Linked DNA regions of Kluyveromyces lactis. The protein of the gene in region 2 interacts with the protein of the main gene of each other region in a pairwise test. Links are inferred from orthologs where the notes say so. Each region holds a gene or a part of one and is shown on either strand. Other genes may lie near its edges. The genes, in order: GIS2, LSM4 and XRN1.

Region 1 (2,313 bases), on a different chromosome or scaffold from region 2:
ACACAATTCAGTGACGTTGAATCAGATTTAGACTCGCTGAACGAGAGAAACAAGGGTGCTGACATGCTTGAATTGACTGATGATGAGAGTGTCCATGAACTGCCGGGCAGTTCACGAGATTTTTTTGATGAGAACGACGTAGAAGAAATGTCAATGGAACTCATTAAGATGTATAGCATCGGTTTGAATGCGGAGGGTGTATCAGAGTTTAAAAAGAGCTCGGCTTCCCTTGTGTTGCCGAAGAATACTGAGAAAAGCACATACTTGAAATCAAACGCCGTAAGGCAAAAATTCATGACTAAATATGATCTTCCGCCAGTATTGTTTCTTGACCAGCTGGAATCTCGTACTAGAGAGCATATTTCTGTTTGTGATGCGATACTGACCGGAAAGGTCTCATCGTTGTATTATTCAATGGCGAAAACGGTTCAGAAAAACTCAAAACGTCAAGTGATTACAAACGAAGAACTACGAGATCTAAATATCTTGAAATTCACCGCTGGGTACTTCGGATCCAGACGACAGGCTATCGTTGGAATGCTTATCCTCGAGACTTATGGTGAAAAGTTGAAAAGAAATAAGAATCCTGTGATTTCATTCTGGGGCCCTTACGACTTTTCACAATATATCTTAGCCCCGGAAGTCTTAAGCTACTTGTGCATGGATGACTTCAAATTAAACAACATCGAAGATGCGTGGGATATTATGCAGACAACTATCGAGTTTGGAACAATGGTCGCAGACTTGAGTCCTTTAGAAGTTTACGAAATTGAATGCGAGGAAGAGTCTTTAAGGAGACTAAGACTACCACAACAATACTCTTCAATGAGCTACAGGGATGATCCGAGAAGGAAACAAGATTCGAACGTAGGATAATAGACCCAGTACTATTACGCAACTGGTCTGCATTCCATTCTAGCCAGTCCCATGGACTGTTCTATAATGAAGACCTTAAGATCTATCTGAAAATCCCATCAAATCATTTAACACGACTGGAAAATTTTCAAATTCTAACAAACGCTTCCTCTGCGATGGGAGACCTTTGCGCCTATCCTCTTCTATGATTCCAAGATTACCTTTAAAACAAGCGTGCTATATTCCAACACTCTGTATTCTGAAAAAATGGTGGTTTTAACAGAAACACTCCGGGAAGACTAAAGAGTGTGAGGAAAATGTCAGGTAAGGCGTGTTATATTTGCGGGAAGTTGGGCCATTTGGCTAGTGATTGTGATTCTGAAAAGCTATGTTACAACTGTAACAAGCCAGGCCACGTCCAATCAGAATGTACTGTCCCAAAGACTGTCGAATTCAAGCAGTGTTATAACTGTGGCGAAACTGGTCATGTTAAGACTGAATGTACCGTTCAAAAATGTTACAACTGTGATGGCTTTGGTCACATCTCTAGAGAATGTGATCAACCAAAGAGATTCAGAAACAACGAGCGTAGTGGTCCTAAGGTTTCTTGTTACAAGTGCGGTGGCCCTAACCACATTGCTAAGGACTGTTTAAAGTCTGAACCAACTTGTTACAACTGTGGTCAAGCTGGCCATTTGTCCAAAGACTGTCAAAACGGTGAAAACGAGAAAGTTTGCTACAACTGCAACGGCGTCGGTCACATCGCCAAGGATTGCTCTTCCTATTAATTGTGCTCGTAAGTTCTAGTGAATTTATCATTTCAATTTTAATCCTTATCACGATAAGTTTGTATCTTGGGATAACGGATTCATTGTTTGGTATGATCCCAATTATTTTTCTTGTTTCTGTTGCTTCTCTTTTGCTTATTCATCGTCAAGCAATGATATTCTACAATATCTCTTTCAATGTGGTAGTTCAGTGCAGCAATTTAGATGTCATTATGTGATGGCAGAGCGAAGGTTAATCTAACAGCTAAAAGTAAATACATTAAAATATATTGTCTTAATCACATCATATCCTAGTTTCTATAAAGTTCATTTAAGAGTTTCAATGCCTTGCTAATATTAGCAACATCATGTACCCTGATTATGTCGCATCCGTTTGCTACGCAAGCGGACACTATCGCTCCTGTTGCGAAATCTCTATCTTTGGCACTAGGAGTCTTTGTTATATCTCCAATGAACTTCTTTCTAGATGGTCCAACCAACACAGGAAGATTTATTAAAGAATAGTACTCATTACCAATGATACAAGAATAGTTCCGTAGTAGAGGAATACCTTTTATTAACTCGAGATTTTGCTTACCAACTTTGGCAAATCCAATTCCAGGATCCAAAAACAATTGCCAACGGAAAATGTTATTCCTAAAAGTGTCTTGATATCTCGAACATACTTCTC
Region 2 (2,561 bases):
ACAGCATTTGGATCTTTAAGTTACCTAAGCTCATTGTGGTTCATCGGTAAGCTGAATGAATATAACAAGGCTAAATAAGTTCGCCTCTTATATTTAAAGTGAGGCCAAAAAAAAAAAGTCCGGCTCTCTTCAGGAGTCTCATATTTCTCCTATATAATACTGCATATCTAGCATGGACTTTCTAAACCAAGCATTTTTGTATAGAGTAATTTAAAAAATAACAACATTTGATCTTTTCCACGGTACCCATGCTCACATACTCTTAATATATAAAGCACTGATATACTGCTTTGAACTTAAGGTTCACTAACTCTGAATCATAATTAATAGGTAGTTCTTTTAATTTCATAACCCAAATTCAGTTTTAAATCTCAAAAGTGTGAAAGGAGTAACGAGAAAAAGGTTTAGGATATCGCATCGAATGCAATCGAAACAGATGTTTTTATAGACTTTTGACCGTCCAAGCCAACAAAATAGTCTCTTTAACCGCAATAAAAGTGATTGAATATGTAACCATGTAGACACACAAATACTTAAGAATTAAATGCTGAGAAAAGAGGTTAAATCAAAATTGTGGAGTTTGATTACTATTGTTTGACGCCTGCGAATACGAAAGCTGTGGATTGGATGATGCATCGTATTGTGATCTATTTTGAATATTATAACGACGAGATCCTGCATTGTTATGGCTGTGAGTATTGTTATTATTATTATTATTATTATTATTGTTGTTGTTGTAATCCCTTCTGTTACCTGAGTTTTGATAGTTTCTTCTACCACCTCTTCTGTTACCATCCCTATTCTGATAATAATTATTGTTATTATTGTAGTTGTTATTTCTTCTTCTATCGTCTTTACCGCCTCTGTTTTGACCCCATTGTTGTTTTACCTTGTCTATGATATCATCTTGCAAATTAACATACTTGATGAAAGAACCTTTCAAATAGAAGCTTGGTAATTTCAAAGTCTCTCCACTAGCTACATGAGTGACATTGGAAAGTGTCAAGTTCATCCAATTGTCTACATCAGATAGCGTACCTTCCACAGTTTCTCCATTTTTTAGTTCAACATGCATTGTTTGACCCTTTGCATTGGTCAATAAATATAATGGAAGCATTTTATGTTATAACTTATTGATCTGTTTTACCAATTATAGTGTGCCCGTGCTGTCGTATTTCTTTAGGTATCTCAAACCGTAGTAACTTAATCGTAGGAAAGGGTGGGGCCGGAACAATATACAATATACCAAAAAATTAGGACTCTGTCTGTCTGGAGAAGGAAAAATGTGAGGGAAAAAAGTATGAATTAGACTTTGTTGCTTATCTGCGTATCTGTAGTTTGAGTTATGTAACACTCCCTAGTAGGACGAACCAAATGCATACAATTGCATTGACAATATTTAAATTCCAATTACAATATAACTTCAGTTTTTCCAAATTTCATTGAGCTGGAAAAAGCATTCTCGACATTTCATAAAATTCATTTACCGGGTAACACTTAAAAGTTTCGAATCACGTGAGTGTCCCGGGTAATACTGACACGTGAATATAATCTGATTATTGATTTTTCTCTTATTTTTTCACTTTTAAGACTGTTTCTGCCCCCCTACTCCTTCGTGTCATACGGACCCTTCTAGGCGTTTTGAAAGGTTGCCTCAGCTTTGAATATGGGAACACACTGGAGTGAGGTTTGAAATGTGAGATCTGAGATTTTTTTTTTGGTGAGGCATCTAATCTTTCTTTTCCCAATTGGGTAAAGAGATTTGATCACAGTTTAAAATAAAGATTATAATCTTTTGAAAGCAGACTTTCTCACGCACTTTACAATGTCATTTATGATTTGTGTATACCTTTGTTATTAACAGTGTCTGTAGGCTACGTGAACTTAGCTAAATATCAGAGCATTCCAGTTGAGATTGATTTGGTCTGCTACTCCGATATCTGGATACATTTTTGGGCACTGGTGGAAAAGCTAGAATAACCGTAACTGCGTGGTATATTTTACGTTGAATTTTACAAAGTGAGCGAGCTTGAGATCACATTGCCAGGAGCAGAAGCAGAAGCAGCAGCAGAAGGTGACACTCGACTCGAAACGCTTTGTTGACTCTGGCGTGCTTTTCTTTGCTTTGTTTTGTCTAAAACAATTAGGATTTCGTGTGCATTTATTTCTTTCGTGTAATTATGGAACAACACTTGTCGCATCATAGCGGCAACGTTTTTGACAAGGAATCTATCCTTCAAATGCACATGGGCACTCATCATCATTCTGAGAATGATACACTTTTGAAACCGTTCAATTCTAATTTATTAGGAGCTAATAGTGGTGCTACCAATAATTCTTCTTCATCCACGGGAGCATCCTCTTCGATGATCGATGAAAGGCAGATCGATGGGAGTTTAAAGAAAATCAGTGAGGAACCTACTATGGCGGAGACAAGTGGTTATGACAGCGAATCGGAAACTTTCATTGAAGTTGCTACATACGCGGGCGTTGATGTATATGAATGTTATACCAAAGATAAACCTCCATGCCTTATCATGAGAAGATGCAACGATAATTGG
Region 3 (2,234 bases), on a different chromosome or scaffold from region 2:
TGTCGTCAGGCGCCTTTGCTGGGTTACAGACAGCAGAAGAGATGGAAAAGCAGATCGCAGAAAAGGAAAAACTTTCTATGCAAAAATCAGGGCTTCTCAAGAAGAATCAGAACACAGTATATAGAGACGAAAAAGGTAAGGTAATAGATGGATACGAAGAAGAATTGAAACTTCGAGAAAAGGCTAATTTGACAGCGAAAGTACGTAAGGAAGAAGAACTTAAAATACGAAATATAGGCGAAGTACAAATATCAAAACTTGATCGCAAAACTGAGAAAAGTGCATTATTATCAACCGAAGATCCATTGAATCAAGGAAACACCCTGCGAGGAACGAATACGTCACTGTTGGGTCGAAGGCTTTACGAGAAAAACTTTCCAGAAAATCGGTTCGGTATCGTTCCCGGTTATAGATGGGATGGAGTTGATAGATCAAATGGGTTTGAAACTAAGTGGTTTGCTAAGAGTCACGATATCGCTGATCAAAAAATAAAGGAACAAACAACAAACCGGGAATTTTGAAAAGTTGAACCTGAAAGTGTCTCTATTCTTATATACTAAGCATTATTTACTGAAGTGATATAATATTTACTGTTAATAGTCCATTCAAACCAACATTCAGGTTTCAGTTTTTTTAGGAGAATTTTTGAAATGACCACCCCTCCCGGAGGCACCACGACCACGATTACTACGGCCACGACGACCGCCACGAGAATGAGAAGATCTCTTTGTATCATCTGAGTCTTTATTCTCCACATTTGCTGTACGTCCATTCTCATCTCTAATTAGGAGATTCTTAAGATTCCTGGATGCCTCTTTATCTAATGGTGGATTTTGTACAGGTTGTGACTGAGGAGGAGCTGCATAAGCAATATGCTCATTATTCGGAATGAAAGGCGGCTGCATCATAAGAGGATGAGGAATACCACCAGGAACCATATGTGGGGGAACAGTGAAATTGTAAGGCAGAGAATTTGCTGGAGGTGGTTGAATTTGCTGTTGAGAACCTGGTTTGATTTGGTTCAAGACGGCATTGAACACGTTGTTAGCAGCCGAAGGATTTAAAGTGTTAACTGCTATTTGCGGAGCGGATCCAGATTCGGTATTTGATTCCGCGTTATCCTTCTTGATATGATTTAACAACTCATGGGCTTGCTTTTTTTTGAGTTCCTCCACTCTCTTCTTTTTTGCGAGGGCGACTTGCTTATCATTAGGAACTGCTTTTGGTTTCTTATCAGCACTCTTCGATGCCTTTGAATGATATACCAATTGTCTATCAGACAAGTTTAATAAGAAGGAAGAGTCCAATCCCAAACCACGTCTGGTCTGCAACCTACCACCAAAGTTGTTTCCTGCAATTATTTCATTGTCAAATAGAACTTGGATTGAGACGTTCTTGCCAATTGAAGTGTAGCCAACGACAGTACCTTTGCTGTGAAGTGGAACCTTGCCTGAATCTTGAATGTACATTACCCTATCACCTAAGTGGAACCTTTGGGAGCGCAATAGAACATATGACGATTCCGCATTTAAGATTGCCTCACGTGGGACCTTAGCTAATTTCTTCTGCTCGCTTGAATCTGGTAAAGAAACGTATTTTATGATTTCAGATTCAACAGCTGCCATCGAAGCCTTGGTTAGCGAATCACTTTCCAAAGACACCACCACGAATGGTTTTCTTGCTTCTGAGAGCCAATCAGCCACTGTTTTCAAAATGGAATCAGCTTCCGCGCTAGATTTGTTAGGGAAGAGATCAGTGATCGATGGAATTGCTTGTTCCTTCGAGTTAGAAAGTTTCGCAAAGAACTCAGGGAATGTAGATCTGAACTGCTCTAACAAACCAAGAGCGACGTCAGAGTATTCCCATTTGTTTGAGCTGCATCTGGCATAACCGAGAACTTTTTGATTTCTTGCTTTGAATTTGATCATCAAACCGACGTTATGGCTTTTCTTTTTAGAATCATTGACCAAATATCTTGAAGTAATTTTTGACAAGAAGAGAGGGTGGACACGAGCTATTTTTGAAAACACTTGTGTTGGGTAGAATCTCAAGGCTTGAGAATCCAATTTCGCTCTAACTTTTCCGATGTTAGGCTCTGCTCTGAGAGAACCCTTTTTGACTGTAAGTTTTAATCTAGTCTCACTATTATAACCATCAACGGTCGCCTCCCCACCATACGCATAATCACCTAAAAACACAACTTTTGAACCTTTTGGAAATTCTTTATTAATTGG

The links.
Region 1: the proteins of LSM4 (region 2) and GIS2 interact in a protein complementation assay, tested with the Saccharomyces cerevisiae proteins (2 studies listed by BioGRID). The link is inferred for Kluyveromyces lactis from reciprocal best matches to the Saccharomyces cerevisiae genes LSM4 and GIS2.
Region 3: the proteins of LSM4 (region 2) and XRN1 interact in binary tests that used the Saccharomyces cerevisiae proteins (3 or more experiments, as listed by UniProt). The link is inferred for Kluyveromyces lactis from reciprocal best matches to the Saccharomyces cerevisiae genes LSM4 and XRN1.

The regions. Positions count from the first base shown.
Region 1 is NC_006039.1:252,650-254,962, reverse strand, and holds GIS2 (mRNA-binding translational activator GIS2), read left to right. Parts: upstream 1-1,172; coding exon 1,173-1,643; downstream 1,644-2,313. Other genes in the region: RTC4 (Rtc4p), read left to right, coding at 1-876; trifunctional dihydropteroate synthetase/dihydrohydroxymethylpterin pyrophosphokinase/dihydroneopterin aldolase FOL1, read right to left, coding at 1,934-2,313. UniProt on the Saccharomyces cerevisiae protein: May act in the sexual differentiation pathway.
Region 2 is NC_006041.1:1,854,943-1,857,503, reverse strand, and holds LSM4 (U6 snRNA complex subunit LSM4), read right to left. Parts: upstream 1,118-2,561; coding exon 566-1,117; downstream 1-565. Other genes in the region: TMN3 (Tmn3p), read left to right, coding at 1-78; SBF complex DNA-binding subunit SWI4, read left to right, coding at 2,181-2,561. UniProt on the Saccharomyces cerevisiae protein: Component of LSm protein complexes, which are involved in RNA processing and may function in a chaperone-like manner. Component of the cytoplasmic LSM1-LSM7 complex which is involved in mRNA degradation by activating the decapping step.
Region 3 is NC_006042.1:2,093,980-2,096,213, reverse strand, and holds the end of XRN1 (chromatin-binding exonuclease XRN1), read right to left. Parts: coding exon 618-2,234; downstream 1-617. Other genes in the region: BUD13 (Bud13p), read left to right, coding at 1-521. UniProt on the Saccharomyces cerevisiae protein: Multifunctional protein that exhibits several independent functions at different levels of the cellular processes. 5'-3' exonuclease component of the nonsense-mediated mRNA decay (NMD) which is a highly conserved mRNA degradation pathway, an RNA surveillance system whose role is to identify and rid cells of mRNA with premature termination codons and thus prevents accumulation of potentially harmful truncated proteins.